Arabidopsis thaliana: one gene and its partners. The protein of the gene in region 1 interacts with the protein of each later gene in a pairwise test. Each region holds a gene or a part of one and is shown on either strand. Other genes may lie near its edges. The genes, in order: J3, KAI2 and SIP4.

Region 1 (6,501 bases):
TCTCTATCTCTATTCGTTCTAAATTACATGATGTTTTTTTCAAACGAAAACCAGAAAAGACTCTGACTACGCGGCATTAACCAGTCCACCACATCAGTTGTGTGGCTATGGTTCTATGGGCTTAAGCCCATTTGACCTACGGAAGTTTCGCAAGGTAATATGTTATCTATTCAGTTTCAGTTTGAAACCATTGGATTATCGGGGTTTTTTTCTAAAGTTTAATATCTATTCGATTATTTTGAAATTTTGGTTCGGTTACAGTTTAATTTTGATTCTTTCGGTTTTAAATTTAATATACATTCGACTATTTAATTTTGAATATTTTCAGATATTTTGATTATTTTTGAATATTTTAGATATTTTTGGTTATTTTAGATATATCGGATATTTTTTATTATTTTTAATATTTTTACTATTATATATATTTTTAAATATTTTTAATTATTTAGTTTAGAAATAACTAATAGTTATAAAAAATATTTTTATTTCTGTTATTTTCGATTACCCAAAATATTTTGATTCGGTATCGATTTAGTTCGGTTCTTTTGATTATAAAATTTAGTATTAATTCGGTTATTTTATTTTCTAATTTTTGGTTTGGTTTGGTACAATTTTTTTGCTAATTTTAAAACTAATTTTATATAAAATTTTTGTTCAAGCTACAATTACAACTCTTTTTAAAATACAACTGGTATGATCTCTATTGTACTCACATAACTATTTGCGTATTTGATCCGTCATAGTTGATTTTATAAAATCTTTTATTTGAGAAAGCATTGCTAAGATTTGTGTAAAGAGAAATTGGATTAAACTTTCATGTTTATGTTTACGTTTACATTCACGTTAATTTCGTAAATATACAGTCACAAGATATTGCCAAAAAATAAATTAAAGAAGTCAAAGAAAAATAAAAAGCTGACATAATTATATATGCAAACAACAAAGCATATAGAAAATTAAATTAAGAAACATTTTTAAAAAATATAATATTATATTTTACGTAAATATTTCTATAAATTAATATTTTATTAACTTATAAGATAAATTAATAAATATTAGTTTATAAAATAAATTAATATCACTATAAATTAATAAAATTGCGTCGTCCGAACATTATTAATACATTTTTTACTAATTTATAGAGTTTTTACTAATTTATAGAGTTTTTACTGTAGTTCGTACGTACATGTCATCGGAGTTAACACCCAAAACATGGTGACATATACAACAAAAAGGATAAATATGAACATCTTAGACTATATAGCAGCATTTGTTCTGCATGAACACAAAAATTATTGAATTTTAAATCCATATCAATATAGAAAACACACAGTATATATGTTCTTAGACATTAAATTACTACAAATTTAATCATAAAGAAAAAACACAAAATTGTAATAAGGCCTTAATTTTTAAAGTCAGAGGAAAAAGAGAAAACAAGTTTCGATGTTCCACCGAAGTGGGCAAATTCTTAAACCGTACCAAACTCCCATAAAGACTCCAATACACTTAGAATGAAAAAGCAAGAGACAAATTGGTTGGAGCCCAAACCCATGTGGGTCAAAGTCTCTCTAAGGAGTTACTTACTGCTGGGCACATTGCACCCTTTGAGCACCACCCGGATGGTCATCATCTTCATCGTCATCATCATAAGCCTCTCTTTGAGCTTGTGCCTTCCTCCTCATCTCATCCTCAATGTTGACATCGTGGAGCGTGGTCTCCTCGCATTCATCTATCTCCATGTCACTCAACTGAGCTGTTGACGGCTTAGGTAGAACAGCTTCCAGTGCTTTGGTCTGATCTGGGCTCAACGAGTCCGGGAACTCCACTGTGAAGTGGATGTAGAGCTTACCCTTCATGAATGGCCTCTGGTATATCGGCATTCCTTCATCGCTTATTGCCTTGTATGAATCTGTCAAACACATAAGATAAGTGATCATGTTTCAATCAGAGACAGTTATAGTAACTGTAAAATCTGAGTATGACGATGCATCTGAATACGTACCAGGTTTCACGACCTCCCCAGGATTAGATTTAATGAGAAGACTTCTGCCATCCAAGTGAGTCAGAACAAATTGGAAGCCACACAAAGCTTCGGTTAGAGAAAGTGTGTGCTCCACAAAGAGGTCTTCTCCCTTTCTCTTGAACTTTGGGTGCTCTTTCTGCTGAAGGACAAACACTATATCTCCAGTGACAGTGTCAGGCTGCACCAACACAAAAACATAAAACAAAAGGTTAGTCTCCAGAAGAAAAGTAAACATACTAGTAATCAAAGCTGGAGTAAATGTATGAGAGTAGATACCGCTTCATCTGCTTGTCCTTCAAATGTGATCTTCTGACTGTGTTGCATTCCCTTCTCCACATTCACTTCAAGCACCTTCTTCTCAGGAATGACCTTGTCTCCTTTGCATTGTGGACACCTGTCCCGATCATTGATGGTCTCACCTGTCCCTTTGCATTCATTACATGCATGCTGCATCTGCTGGATCATTCCAGGTCCAAGCTGCCTAATAGACACCTTCATACCAGATCCCTGACACCCTCCACATTTCAAGGAGGCTCCAGATTTTGATCCCTTTCTGCAATCACAAATTCAGAACCTTTTAACCAACTGGGGTCACAAATTGAGATAAAGGGTTTCTGTCAAAACTTAAGCTAATTCATATTATTATGAACCTAGGACACATATAGCTACACCAAAAACGCAAGATCGAGTCGAATGTACTAACCCGTTACACTTAGAGCAGAGAGCATTCCTAGAAAGTGAAAGCTTCTTCATTGTACCAAGGTACACATCCTCAAGAGATACCTTCAAGGGATGAACAACATCCTCACCACGCCTCTGCCTCCTTTGCCGGCTGGTATTACCTATTCAAAAACAGAAACATATTCAAACGAAAATTCTCAATTGCGATATCATAAAGTGTACAGTGTCCAAGGAGACTCACCTCCAAAGGGGCCTCCACCAAAGAAGGATGAGAAAATATCAAATGGATCATGTCCACCTCCTCCACCACCCATTCCTTCCTTGAGTGCATCCTCTCCATACTGGTCATAAATCTCACGCTTCTCCGGGTCACTAAGCACTTCATAAGCTTGTGCTAACTCCTTAAACTGCAATCAACACATAACACAACAAATCAAACTCATAACCTAACAAAGAACCAAACTTTAACCACTCAATTATCAAAGCAAGACACATCTATATCATCAAAACCCTAATTTTTGATTAATCGCCAAAACTCAAACTTTTTTATCAGATCGGATCAAAATTCAACATTAAGAAACTAACAAGACAACAAATCAATCGAAAAAAAAAACACAATCAAACAATCGAATTCGAGAGAATCTAAGCGGATCTAAGAAATTATTCACCTTCTCGGGATCTCCACCCTTATCAGGATGATTCTTGATAGCGGCTTTTTTGTAAGCTTTCTTGAGATCTTCTGGTGAAGCGCTCTTAGGAACACCTAAGATCTCGTAGAACTTAGTGTTGTCGCTCTTCTTCGAGGGTCCTCTACCGAACATCTTTTCGCCGTTGTAACGAAAACCCTAGAGAGATTGGAAGGAGATAGAGAAAGAGAGAGAGAAAAGTGTCTCTCTTTCGATGTTTGGGTTGGTTGATGTGGCTGCCGTTTCTCTGAGAGGACTTCTCTCTTATGAAGAGGCTAAATTGCGTTTGCTTTTGTTTGAGGTTTTGTGGAGTTTGGAACTCTCTAGAATGTTTTATTACTTTCTTTTTTCCTTTTTTTCTCTTAAAAACATTATTACTATATTTGATATTTCCAACATGTAGAGATAAATTATTATTTTTTTGAATACAAAAGAGGAAAATTATATTATTTGGGTAGACAGAAAAGTATATTGTAGATGTTTGTTGTACAACAACGACTACTAAGATTATATTGACTTGTTTGACAAAAAAAAGATTATATTGACTTTTTTTTTATGACGATTTTTTTCAAAAAAATTTGTTTTGTTTTGTTACAATATTAAGTAAATAAATTTTTATACGAGCAACATAATAACAAATTATAAAACTACATGAGTTTTATGTAACTCACGTTACTTTTTATAAAACTCACATAAGTTTTTTATGTAAAAGAAAAAAAAATTGTGTTATTCTTCTCAACATAACTAAAAAATTTTACAATCGATTCACAAAAAAAAACTAATTATTAGAGTTTTGTTAAAGAGCGTAAAAAAATATTTTTTCATTTGATAATTTAGAAAAATATATTTCGTGAAAGAAATTTAATTTTGTTATTTTTTTGTTTGGTTTTTTATCTTTGTATATTTGTTTTTAGAGTCACTGACAATTGTCGGTTCGTCGGCGACTCTTTTTTTCTTTTTTTTCTTAATTCTCTTCTAAAGTAAATAATTTGTATTGTCGGAGTTACAACTGTAAAAGGTGACACTAGCGATTGAACTTTGATTTTTATAGATTTTATTATCCGCTTACTCGATCGCTCACCATCACACTTCTCTCTAACTATCAAGATGAGGTTCTGGATTCCCAAGTTTTGTTACGATTTTCTATCGATTCTATCTTCACTACTAACGCGATCGATCAAAGTGCTCTCCATCGTGTGTCCCTTGGTCGCCGATCTTCTTTATCGTTCTCACAAACTCTATCTCCATCAATTGGTTTTGTCTCTAAAGAACACATTCGTGGTTATAGCAATTTGTTGGTTGAAAACGATGACGGTTTCTTTCTCTTCATCTTTAGAGAGCGTCATATTGGTAAGTAATTTGATCATCACTGATTTTACCATCTTCTCTGGGATTTATAATAAGGATTACTCAGGTCCGAATGTTTTCTTCACCATCCCTTCAATTGATTGGTGTTATCTTGAAAACATTTTGAAGTTCCTCAACCCAAAATTGTTTGGTGTCATCACTACTGACATTTCATCTTTCTTTTACTTATAGAAGAAAATCAAATTGAGATATTGTTTGATACTTATTTCGGATTTTTTGAAGATTTGGGAAACTCTCTAGTTGAGGATTGTGTGGCTCTAAAAACCAAGACACATAAAAGTAGGAGTTATATGATCCAGATAGATTTGTTGGAAGAGATACACATGGATGTTGGGGATACATGCTATCATTGGATGATGTGGAGAACAATGTGATATATATATAATTGCAATCAGAAGATGGCTCATACTATACTGAGACGTCATAATTTATTCTCGGGATATAATGGTGAGAGAAAACAAAGTCAAAGATAGTTAAAGTGATTATGATACGGAAGTTTTGGTATCATAATGTTGATATTTCATAACTGTTATCAGAAGCATATGGTTTTAAATACGGTATGCGATATGGAAGTTTAAGCAAGAAATGCTATCCAGAAACATAATTTGCATAAGCGTAAGATCAAATACGAAAAAAATAGATTTAATAATCTGTTAACGAGTAAGACTTATATGTCAAAAGCATCGTCAATCACTATAGTTTGTGTATTTTTCTCATTTTATGGTGCTTACGTTATAATTTTCGTTCGATGTTTTGTACAATGACTTTATAGTCTTGATTTGATATTAACGAAGGTAAAAATAAAAATAAAAATTATCTTTGTTTTATGCTAAATATTTTATTTCATAAAAGAAGTTTAAAATATATATATTTTTTTTTATAATATTTTGTTTTGCAAAAAAAAAAATTTACATAAAATAATATTATTTTGTGAATAATAGTTTCTTGTTAACATGCAAGTAGGTTGGTAAATAAGATGACATGATAATCTATACTATTAATTGGAAACATTTTGTGAAATACAACCTCATGAGAGTAGTTTAAGACTAAGTAAATGATTGTTTGCATGGGTAATTAGGTAATTAACAACTAGTACAACTAGATAACGGACAATTCCTTCTGACCCTTATTAGATCCACGACATACGAAAATTCTTTCTCATTTTCCATGCGCTTGATGAAAATCTTCAATATCTTCTCTGCGTAAAATCCTGGCGAACGGCTATAATTGTACATCGTTGTAGATCTCCTACACACTTGCCTCGATTAATATGCAAATCTGTTAATAAATCGGAGTAACTGGGATTCGAACCCCAGACCTCTCGGTGTAGAAGTATTAATGAACCATTGGTCAACCATTGGGCCAATGGGGCTTCCAAACTTAATATTCAGCATCAATATATATATTTCGAATATAAATCGAAATATTTTGTATTTTTCCATTTATTAGAGATAAAACAACAAAATTCAACATAAATTAAACACTCATAATGATATATATTTAGAATACTTAATATTTGAACCTTGTACTTATTTTACTTAAAATTTTATCCATGTAAAATTCGAACATCATATCCACTAATTTGGCATCGAATATTGATACAGTTTTAAAATTTAATCCTTCAGTTTACAAGCTGAATTTGATATCACTACTTGCTTTTATTTTGTACTAGATGAGTATCCGCACTACGTGCGGGTTTATATATTACTATTTACAAATTGTTTTATATAATGTTTATTC
Region 2 (5,977 bases), on another chromosome or scaffold:
TACGTTAGGGATCAGTATCATAAGTTCAGCATTCCAACAAAGATCACTGACTACTTCAGCATTTCAACAAAGGAAACTACAGAATTCTGTGTTCCAGATATCAATTTATTGAATTGCATTCTAACGAAGATGAAAACAGTGAAAAGGCTGTCCAATCTTGTTATTTTATCGAGTTAAAGGTGAGCCAGAACTAAAATAAAACAAAAATAATATTTGGCTTACTTGCTTGGTGGTAACTTCGCTCTACTGCATCTACATTCACAAATGGAAACCTTTTCCCCAATTTTGTACCAGTGCAAATGTCTCACCTGTAGAGTGTGGATGAAGAATTTTCATACATGCCTATTCCATCAAATAACTAGCGGATCATATCTCTATATGCATCACAGAACAATTCCCCGAAAAAGTACACGTTGTAATTTGCGAAAGGTACATAAAAAGAAATGCTAGATCATATAAGTCACAAACCAGAAATGTCCTATGTTTCATTATCACATGAGTCTTAGCACCATTCCCATCATAGACATAACATGAACCTTCATCTGGGATTGTCCCAAGACCACTTATAGTTCCAACAAGAAGTCTGGCACCACTTTCATTTCCCGGAGGCGATTCAGTGCCATGATTAGATCCTTCATCTGAATTGAGGAAAACGTGTATAAGATCGTGATCACCCTCAATTTGTTTCTTTTCATGATACCCTTTTGGGGGAACCCTAATGGCTGTAGCAACAACTCTTCCAGATACATGCAGCTGAATATCTTTATACGCATCAGAAACATGGTTTTTACTTCTTGAAGATTGTATATGAGATATCTGAAGACCAATCCTTTCAGCAGACATCATGTCATTGTTGCCTTTCTCAACTGCTTGACCAAGGTCCGAATCCATAAACGACGACAAAGCCAATTTCTTTGAGCAAGCAGAAGAAAGCTCAAGGAAGTTATCAACCAAGGAAACCATACCAAAAAGATCCCGTCCTGATACCAAATGCAAAACCTCTCGTGTATCATACACAGACCTTTCCTCAGCTTCAAAACAATCAGGAAGAAGCTCAACAGATTCAACATCAGGCCCAAAGTAGGCCGCTCGTATAGCTGAATAAAAATCTTCTTCAAGTTCATCTAAGTAACCAGTACCATTTGCTACTCTCTTCTCCAATACTATATCATGTATTGCTTCTCTATACCACTTTAACCATTCAACTACTTCCATCTCTTGACTCAATGTCAATCCTGTTTTATACCTGTGAATCATATAACCTTGTCCCGAGTGCTTCTTCATTACCATTCTCCGAGATAGCAAATATCTATCATAGTGTGCTCTCTTTTCAGAATCTGATAGAATCTGTATCATCACCACAAATCATTCATCAGACACTTCTAAAGCTATAACTCTATCACAAAAGCTTGAAAAGCTTGAAATTTTCGATTTTGAAACTAATCATAAGAGTGAAGAGTGAAGCTTTCTTCATTGTACCTCATAAGCAGCGAGAATCTGAACGAATCGTCTCGAATTTGATGGATCTTTCTTGGATTCGATCAGATCAGGATGAGTCTCCTTGGCGAGTCTGCGAAATGATGCTTTGATCTCTGCGATTGAGCTGGTTTCGGAGACATTCAAGATATCGTAAGCGTTCTCCACCGGAAACTCGTTCCGATTGGACTCAGCCTCGCCGCTCAGCAACCGAGTTCTTCCTTGACTCGGGTTAAAGAGAATTCGCGACGGTTCGAAACCGTAATTCAGTTGAACCGGAACTAATCTACTAAAACGCCGGCGTATCAACCCGGCGAGAATCGTCATTTCACGACCAGTATGGTTTACTCAGGTGGGAACGGAGACCGGAAGTGGAAAGAGGATAACGGCACGCCGATGACACGTGGGTCTCTCGATTTCACGCCACGTCATCACGAGTTCAGACTTTATTGGTCAACAGTAAAAACGGTCTTAGGAAAGAGAGAACATGAAGCCATATTACACTAAATGGGCCTTGAATTTTAATGGGCCAGGATCCTCTCACAGATATTTTTGACTCTTAAAATGATGAGGAAGTGGATGTGAATACGTGGTCGTATACTCACCATGGCATTCCATGAATAATTAATGTCTTCTAACTTCTAAATGATCGAAAAGTACTGACAAGTTAAAGTCAAGCAGAAAAAAACAAATATTATGAGGTTTTTAGATGCTATATTCATTGCAAGTTGTATACATGCGAAATTTAACTAGTGTTGTTAAAATAATAATTATATCAGCTTTTGACTATTTGCTGCCACTCTTTGAATGATTGAAACTAATTTTCTTTCGCATTAATGCATTGTTGAAATTCATGCACAAAATTAAAAATAATTGGTTCATGTATTTGTAACCCAATGTAACAATTTTATTGTTGAACAGAAGTCAGTAACTCCACGTCATGTACTCCATTAAATGTTCCAAAATATTTTGGGCTTGATTCCAAAAAACAAATTATCACGAATAGCGATGTTTGACAATCCAACAAACATGGTTCCATTCACCTTTTTTTGCCACCTGTAAATCGCGATATTTTAAATAATTTATTTCCTCTTCCACAGATACGAATTTTTTTATAAAGAATAATACGTAACACTCTAAAACAACACAAATATCATAATTTCTCCACGAACTGACTAAGAGAGGTACCAAGAAGAAAACCAGAGAAGAATCTTCTTTAGAGAGATGGGTGTGGTAGAAGAAGCTCACAACGTGAAGGTGATTGGTTCAGGAGAAGCCACGATCGTGTTAGGTCACGGGTTCGGCACGGACCAGTCAGTATGGAAACACTTGGTTCCACATCTGGTCGACGATTACCGCGTCGTCCTCTACGACAACATGGGAGCCGGTACGACCAACCCTGACTATTTCGACTTCGATCGTTACTCAAATCTCGAAGGCTACTCTTTCGATTTGATTGCAATCTTGGAAGATCTCAAGATTGAGTCTTGTATCTTTGTTGGCCACTCTGTTTCTGCCATGATTGGTGTCTTGGCTTCTCTTAACCGTCCTGATCTCTTCTCCAAAATCGTCATGATCTCTGCTTCTCCGAGGTATAACTTTTTCACAAGTTGTACATAGAAATATGTTTTGCTTTTTATCTCATCCTGACATAGTTTAGACAAAAGGGCTTCTCTGTTCCTTCTCTTGTCTGATTTCATAAAAACTATTAAACATTACAATTTAAATAAAAAAAAATCATCTTAAGTCCTTAAATTTACACAATTATCTATTATTTCGAAATATTTATTTCTCATTCTGACATAATTTCGACAAAGTGCCTCTTTGTTTATCCTCTTGTCTGAATTATCCTATTTCTCAAAATCAGTGAAGCATTTCATTATATATTTCAATAAAAATCCGTAAATTATGAACAAAAAATCATGAAATACCCATTTGTTTATTTGTTTTTTTTTATTTGGTTTTACTGAGGTGTTACTTACACTTTTTTTAAAAAAAATTGTTGAAACGGTGCTCACACAGTATATTATATATTTTAATTTTCTTCTGACAAAAGAAACATATATAATCAAATTATATTGTTTTGGTACGTTTATAGATACGTAAACGATGTTGATTACCAAGGTGGATTCGAACAAGAAGACTTAAACCAACTATTCGAAGCCATCCGAAGCAACTACAAAGCGTGGTGCTTAGGTTTCGCTCCACTCGCCGTCGGTGGCGACATGGACTCCATCGCCGTTCAAGAATTCAGCAGAACACTCTTCAATATGCGTCCCGACATAGCTCTCTCCGTCGGCCAGACCATTTTCCAAAGTGACATGAGACAGATCTTACCTTTTGTCACTGTTCCGTGTCACATTCTCCAAAGTGTTAAGGACTTAGCTGTACCAGTCGTTGTCTCCGAGTATCTTCACGCCAATCTTGGCTGTGAATCCGTCGTCGAGGTTATTCCTTCTGATGGTCATCTTCCTCAGCTTAGCTCACCAGATTCTGTTATTCCTGTCATCCTCCGTCACATTCGTAATGACATTGCTATGTGATTGTAAGAGATTTAATTAGTTAATTATTAAACGATGTAAGAAAAGTTGAAAAAAAATATCTGATGTGATATGTCTGTCTAGTCTATTGAGAACATTATTTCGTTGTCGTTTGGTTCTGATTCGTTTATCTTGAGTATCTTGATCTTTGTTGTTCTTATCTTGTTTAACGAAAAGTCTCTGTCTTTTGTCCACAGCTTTGCTCAGAGCTCATTATTGCTTGATGTAATAGTGATGTTCGTAATTGATGGTCCATAGTGAATTATTGCAACTTTGCAAGAGTGCTTGTGCTATACTGTGTGAAGAGTAATTAACATGTGATACTAGGAATTAGCATTGAGTTTGCATTTATGGATGGGTAATCCAAACCATAAAACATACATATTGTGATGGTTTTGAAATTTGTTTGTTTGTGAACAAAAATTAGCCAAGTTTTAAACAAAGTAAAATGAAAATTTAGGGTTTTGAATTAGGATGGAGTTAAGTCATATTTTGTTAGGTTTGTTTGCTTATGAAATTATGGATTTGTTTGATGTTATTATAGGGATGCGGTGCAAAAGATATTGTTTTCTATATTATCATTTATCACTAATAACTTTCAAATTTTATTGACGCGCCTGCTCAGATTTTATTCGATTTGTTGTTTATGAAATTAGTTATAGATTGGTAAGTAAATAGCTTTAAAAAATTAGTGATACAAAACAAAATGGTAAATATTGTATTGCTTCTTACTAGTCAATACTATGATTAAACTTCCATTTTATAATTCACTTTATATAAAACTTCTATTTATTTTCTTAAAATTATTTTATTATTGAAATTTAAATATCATTTGGTACAATATTATTTCTTCATCACTAGTCAAATACTATGATTAGCCTACCCAAAAAAAAAGTCAAATACTATGATTAAACTTCCATTTTTTTAAAATTCATTGCAGGTCATACAATTTAAATGTTTACATAGTCATGAAAGAATTGAGAACATATATATACTTCAAATTTGTTCTCCAATACAGTCACACACCTAACTTCAATTTGCTTAGAATTTCTTTGGCAAGACGATTAACAGAGCTAGCCCATTGTAAAAGGGTAATAAATAATAAGTGGGCTAGGCCCATATATACACAACAAAAAGTCACGTGACAAGAAACTTCATACGTGTGCGACTCTTGCCCCAAAATTTGATTAGCACCACTTATTGAGAAGCAGCAGCAGCACCACAAGCACCACCACCAGTATCACATTCACATTCACCATCATCGTCTCTTCGCTCTTATCTCTCCGTTACTTTTTTATTTACTATCTCTCTCTTCCCCGTTACTTTTTTTTCTTCCCCGTTTCGTTCTCCGTCAAAGTCTTCTCTCTTTACCATTTTCTCCACTGTACTAATTTCCCTTTTTACCCCTAAACCCATCGTTCCCGTGACACGACGGCCACGAAGAAGAGGGATAAAATTGAGAAAGATTAAATAGGCGATTGATTTCTCCATCGGAGACACCACCGCTCAAAAAATGGCGACGGCGACGGCGACATCGGAACGATTCGAGTTAGCCAAGCACTGCAGTTCACGGAACTGGTCTAAAGCGATCCGAGTTCTCGATTCGCTCCTTGCTAAGGAGTCTTCAATTTTGGATATATGGTTTGGTTTCGAGATCTTTGTTCTCTCATTCAATTTCTCCGGATCGGTATCAATGATTTTTCTCCCGTTAATCTCAGTATTTTTTTTTGAATTGGGAATTTGGTTTCAGCAATAGAGCGTTTTGTTATAATCAATTGGAGCTTCACAAGCATGTGATTAAGGACTGTGACAAGGCACTTCTGCTTGAACCTTTTGCCATTCAAGCTTTTATTCTCAAAGGTTAGTTCACTTCCAAGCTTTGACTTGAGTGCTTCATAGTTTCTCTGGGAATTGAGTTTGATTCTCGGGATAGCTTCAGAACTAGAATTAGGGGTTTAGAT
Region 3 (6,066 bases), on another chromosome or scaffold:
GCAGAGACATTGGTGGGGAAACCATAGATACAGAGAACCATTTCCCATGGACGTTTCTTCTTTGTTCTCCAAGCACCACTAGTGATCTCTCCATTGTGCTGCCTTATTCTCCGCCTCGGGTTTACAGTGAACCTACCAACCAAACCCAGTTTATGCAATCAATCACTAAACATCTCATAGTCTGATTATTAAACACTCAAAATCTCCTATTTGATCAAATTTAAGTATTCAATCAGATAAACCCAGAAAATGTAAATCCTTTCTCAATCGAATTTGATCCAACAGAATCTTCAATTCCAAAATCAGAGATGAGAGAAACAAGTACCCGATATAGGTTTGACCCTTATGACGAGGGCTAAGAGAGGTCAAGAGATAACAGGCGAAGAAGCCTTTTCCATCTTTTCCGGTGACTCCATCCTCACCGACGGGATCTAGGGCTTTCCGATTTCCCCTTTTCTCTCTCATATCTCTTGGATTCAATTCGACCGTTGAAGACGACAGATTATTACACTAAAAAATCCGTTTTATCTCTTAAGGATGAGAATGGGCCGAAATGTATGATTAAGGCCCACTGTATTCAATGACCCAATTTTATAATGGCCCAATTTTTTATAATTCATTTCCTATACTGTATTTTGTTTTACTTGGTTCACATGACATTGTTACCCATCATGATAGTGATACCGTGATAGGTCTCCTATTGATTTTAGAGCTTATAAAATTTGCTCACTTATGTCAAATTTTACCGCAACTAAAATTTCAGCTTTCAAATAATCTCTCCTCATATTATATCCTCTTTTTCTTTTTACTTTTCAGATACAATAAATGATGGTTTTCAATTTTGAGTTTGTCTCTAATAAAGAATTTATTCTTAACTTTGGTTTAGTAGAGTTTTTGGTTTTTATTTTAGCTATATAGTAAACTTTGATTTCAGAGAGTTTGGTACAATAATATTTTTATGAGGAAATCACCCAAGTGAATAAAGAGAGTTTAGATATAGTCAAGAATATTCAATAAGCATTCTACTTTCCTAATTCACACCAAACAACCTAATTTGCCAGAGTTTTTCCATTTGCACCTAAAACCAAAAGGTGGGCAGAAACTATGGTGAGATGATATTAATTAAAATTTTAAATTGGCCAAACAAATGATGAGAAGAATAACAAAAGGCTGGTGCTTATGATGATGCTTTAATAATGATAATGATTCCTTAACCTTCACTCGTTTTGAGTTGTAATATCCAATCAAGTAGACAATAATAGCTTTTCTTTTTATAAAGCTGCAGATTTCAATTTTTGAAGTTCCCTGATTCTATACATACTTTTTAATGCTTTTTCTTCACTGGATGTGGAACTCCCATTTCAATCATTTCATTTGTTCAATAATACATTACACAAAGTTTTTCTTTCAAAAATGCTTTCAATTCTATACATAAATATTAAAGTGAAGAAGCCATATTTGATAAGCAGAAAAATGTATAGAATTGAAAGCCTTTTTGAAAAAAAAAAAAATGTGTAATGTATGGATTTTTGAGAGTTTAGATGAGTTTATGCGATTTAGAGATTATTTTATTTTAGTAATTTATCTACTTTTTATTTTCAATTCATTGGTTATTAATCTGATTTGGTTATCATGCACTTTAACTTAATACAATTTGCATGGTTGATTTTAAAAAGTAGTTATGTACAAATGTGTAAAATTGGAAAATCCAAACTATAAATAGAAGAACATTTTCTACATTATACAAAAGAGTGAAGTATCTACAAATGCAATTTTAGACTTGTTGTTGTACATAGTAACACATTGATCAAAAAGCACAAAATAGATACCTACAATTTGGTACAGTATTTAAATACATACATTAATTTTTATTATTTTTTCTCTGTTTTTAATTCCGAAACAAAAGTAGTAGAAACCAAATCCAACCAACGAAACGCGATTGGCGTTTTAAAATTGAAAGCACGGTAGAAAACTTCATAGCGTTCTTTTAAATAGCCGCGTTTGTTGACGACGTCTGATCGCAAACGCGAATAAGTTGAACCCTGAGTTTACCATTCCACATCTCCTTATAACAATCACCATCACCACCTCTCCGCCGTGCCTCCACCACCACAAGCAAATCATTCAACCGCGAAATACAAATCCCGATACCAAATTTCCCATTTTGCCCCTCCATCTCAAACCCATACTCTTCCTCCTTCTTCTTCTTCATCCTCAGATTCTCCTCTCTCGCAAACCCCTCCACTTCCTCCGCCAACATCTCCGGCGACTTTTCCGATAAAAACCTCTCCGATTCACCACTCGAATTACTACAACCAGCAAACAATCCCGACAAATCCAATCCCGACGAGTAAGAAATCAAATCAAACGCGTTTAAACTCTTCACAGCTTCTAGTGACGATTCCACTTTCTGATCTTCGATCTCGTCATCGTGGAACTTGATCTGTTTAAAACCTCCTCTAACAAACCAAGGATCTTTCAAAATCTCATCAATGGTGATTCTAGTCTCAGGATTAATATCTAAAAGACGAGAAACGAATCGTTTCAGATCTGGAGACATCCAACGAGGAAAACGATACTCTCCTTTATAAATCTTCTTATACATATTCATCACATTCGGATCGTTAAACGGTAAATAACCGGCGACGAGAACGAACAAGACGATTCCACAAGACCATACATCAACTTTAGCACCTTCATATCCTTTTTTAGATAGAATCTCCGGCGCAACGTACGCCGGAGTACCACACAAGGTATGTAACAACCCATCGGGTCGGATCTGATCCGTTAACGCGCTTAGACCGAAATCGGAAACTTTTAAGTTTCCGTTTTCGTCTATTAATAGATTCTCTGGTTTGAGATCGCGGTGGTAAACACCGCGAGCGTGGCAATAACCAACGGCGGAGATCAGTTGCTGGAAATATCTCCGGCTTAAATCTTCGCTAAGACGTCCATGTTTTGAGATTTTGTTGAATAGTTCTCCTCCTTTAACAAACTCCATTGCGAAGAAGATCTTTGATTTTGTCGCCATTACTTCGTGGAGCTTGACGATGTTTGGATGAGATAATCTTCTCATGATTGAGATCTCGCGTTTGATGTTGTTGGCTAGAGCTGGATTTGTGAGGAGTTTTTTCTTGTTGAGGATTTTCACGGCGACGCTTTGGCCGGTACGACGATCACGTGCGTGGAAGACTTTGGCGAATGCGCCGCATCCGAGAAGCTTTCCGAGCTCATATTTACCGAATAAGGCGTCGTTGTTGTCGCCGCTGCCGGCGGCAATCTCGATCTCTGGCATGATTGATGAATCCAGAGATTGATTGATGAATAAGAAAACTTCGCCGGAGAATTTGAATCTGTTTCGTTTGCGCGTAATGCAGATGTGATGAACACGTAAGCTAATTCTTCTTCTCTTTTTTTTTTTTTGGTTTTGTTGTGAATTTACTTTTTATGGAATAAGAAATTTGAAAGAAAGTGGTTTAGGTATTTAAATGGTGGAGAAGTGATGGCGTAACGCGGAAGCTTTTAAAAAGATAAGTTCGATAGAATAATAATGGATTAAGGGTATAAAGGAATTAGAGTTGCCTAAAAAAGGAGTTTAACTGAAGCACTATTATATGTAACCGTTACAGAATTTGTTTGTTGTCAATTAAAAAAATAAAATGTTAAAGTTTTTTTAACCCAAATTTTATATATGTGAAGCAGTGAAGGTTTACTGTTATAATTAACTGACACAACTACCTGAGCACACAATCCATCTATTCAACACATGAAGCCAAATTTAGCCGATAATGTAATTGATAGTCTTCACATAAAGCAACTGTTCTTGAGTCGATGCATATGTATATCTAGTTCCTTAAATCATATAGTTTTTTCATTTTGTACAATCGATCTACAGACTACAGTGTACACCTAATTATTACGTGGTTTTTGTACTCACTCAATTATTATGTTGTCGATAGTTTCTACTTTATTTCCTCTGCCTACGTGTCATGATCTTATCACTTAACTTACTCTGATCATAACTCTTCTCGTACTTTTTACATCTAAAACTATTCAGAATCTTGTAGTATTATAGTTAGAAGAATGTACATCAATAAATAATTGTTTCGTATATCAGTTATTTGCGTGTCTCATCGTATATGGTTGTTTTTTTATTCAACTCTTAGGTAATGAAGAATTGAAGATAGCGACTTGGTTAGTAACTTATACTAACAAAACATGTTCCACGAGGTAATGGCAGGTGTCTCTCACACACGTGGCAATATCCGAACGGTGGAACAAGTCGACGCGGCGCCGGCTTCAAGCTGGACGGTTCTGGATCGTGGGCCGGCTGTTGAAAAATCGGTGCTGAGATATGTTTCTATTTTATTTTATTTTTTAATAATCGCTGATTGCAGACTAATTATTTCTCTATTGTTTGATCTGATTGACTAATTATTTATCAGTTATAGACTAATAGCCAGGAAATAATAACCTTTGCTCGCGTCGGTAATTTGATTATTTTTCTAACATAGAATAAGAAAGAACTTTGCACCAAAAAAAAAAAAAGGAATAAAGAACATGGGCCGTACCATATTCACATCCTGATTAAACTTTCGTCTTTACATAAAAAACCTTTCAATAAGAAAGAAGAATCAGTCAGTCAATGACTGCGACTTTAAAGAAAAAAAATGACCGCGAGTCTGCGACTTTAAATCCTTCAAACTTTTATATATGGGCTATGTGTGAGTGGTGTAAGGTGTATTTGGATACGTAATACGTTATACGTTAGCATATGTTTTCTTGAATATTATCAGTGTGTACGAATAGATTAAATTGAACGAGCTGAGACTACAGAATTTAAATGAAATCAACGAGTCCCGCAGACAGATGTTAATAGTTTACTTATATGTATATGCTAAGAGTAATGTTATTGGGCTTTTGGTTTATTTATGTTAGTCCATATGTTTATGAGCCTAAACCTATGTGATACTTATTAGAAAGCGAGTACGTTTTTTTATTTTTTGTTCATTATAAGCAAGTACGTTGAAGAAGAAGACAAGAAATATGTTTCCTTTTGACACCAAATGTTGATATTATTCATGAATTATGTCACCATATACGAAATCATATGCTAAGAACGTCATATCGTCTATACGAGCATCATCAATCAATTTATCAGCAAAAGTTTCACGTTGAGGTTGTCCTAGCAACATGTCAATGTATAATAAATATTTGGAGTAGAGGCAAGATATAACTACGAACATGCATATAATTCATATATATAATGTATATATGTGAGTATATATATTATAAAAGATCATGGCATGTACAACTTGTTGCCGCACTTGCATCTCCAAGCTTCCGGGTAGTATTCGGCGGTGACAGGCGTGCCGGGAGGCACCGGAACGTGAACAGGCTTGCACGGAGTGCATCTTCCACACTTGGAGGAGCACCGTGGTGGAGATGAGCCCAATCCCCTTAGAATCCTCCGTAGCTCTGCCTCCTTGCTCCGGTCACCGATCTTCCTAGTCTTCTTTATCACTACGGTACTCTTGCCTTCCTCCTGAACACATACTCAAAACGTACATATTATCACATTTTTCATTACTAAATATATATTCAAACGTATACATATCCTAATTTATTATTTTCTTCATTAGGATAATACATCTAGTAAAACAAACCAAACAATATGGTTAATCAAGAATAATTAGTATTTTCTAATTAACGTTCAATAATTAGTATCTTCTAGTGAACTCAATTTCAGCTGCTATCAACATAAGATAGTGAGAGGACTGCGTTACTAACGTGCGATTTCATGCTGACATACGCATATTATTGTTAAAATGCGCAGTTTAGGTAAAAAACATTTTTAAGACAGGGTTGGGGATGTGAGACAAGACGCGGGAAAACCGCTCCGGAAAAAGCGCTACGCACATTACCAAAAAGGGCAGAGAGATTGAGAAGTTCCAAGAGCCTGTCATACGTTAACGTGCACCGTGGGGGCTAATATTACCACTCGATCGAGATCGTAAGCAAGGCAGGGTCCCACGAGTGGTGAACGAACCAAAAGTTGAGTACTGT

Evidence for each region.
Region 2: the proteins of J3 (region 1) and KAI2 interact in binary tests that used the Arabidopsis thaliana proteins (3 or more experiments, as listed by UniProt).
Region 3: the proteins of J3 (region 1) and SIP4 interact in a two-hybrid assay, tested with the Arabidopsis thaliana proteins (one study listed by BioGRID).

Annotation. Positions count from the first base shown.
Region 1 is NC_003074.8:15,867,532-15,874,032, forward strand, and holds J3 (DNAJ homologue 3), read right to left. Parts: upstream 3,726-6,501; 5' UTR 3,529-3,725; coding exon 3,376-3,528; intron 3,115-3,375; coding exon 2,949-3,114; intron 2,869-2,948; coding exon 2,730-2,868; intron 2,580-2,729; coding exon 2,303-2,579; intron 2,205-2,302; coding exon 2,006-2,204; intron 1,913-2,005; coding exon 1,584-1,912; 3' UTR 1,100-1,583; downstream 1-1,099. UniProt on the Arabidopsis thaliana protein: Plays a continuous role in plant development probably in the structural organization of compartments.
Region 2 is NC_003075.7:17,615,087-17,621,063, reverse strand, and holds KAI2 (alpha/beta-Hydrolases superfamily protein), read left to right. Parts: upstream 1-2,407; 5' UTR 2,408-2,700; coding exon 2,701-3,068; intron 3,069-3,574; coding exon 3,575-4,019; 3' UTR 4,020-4,405; downstream 4,406-5,977. Other genes in the region: AT4G37480 (Chaperone DnaJ-domain superfamily protein), read right to left, coding at 223-308, 469-1,347, 1,480-1,803; SRFR1 (Tetratricopeptide repeat (TPR)-like superfamily protein), read left to right, coding at 5,530-5,657, 5,767-5,876.
Region 3 is NC_003071.7:12,935,278-12,941,343, forward strand, and holds SIP4 (SOS3-interacting protein 4), read right to left. Parts: upstream 3,558-6,066; 5' UTR 3,296-3,557; coding exon 1,988-3,295; 3' UTR 1,702-1,987; downstream 1-1,701. Other genes in the region: AT2G30350 (Excinuclease ABC, C subunit, N-terminal), read right to left, coding at 1-132, 326-465; CHAL (allergen-like protein), read right to left, coding at 5,300-5,545, 5,999-6,066.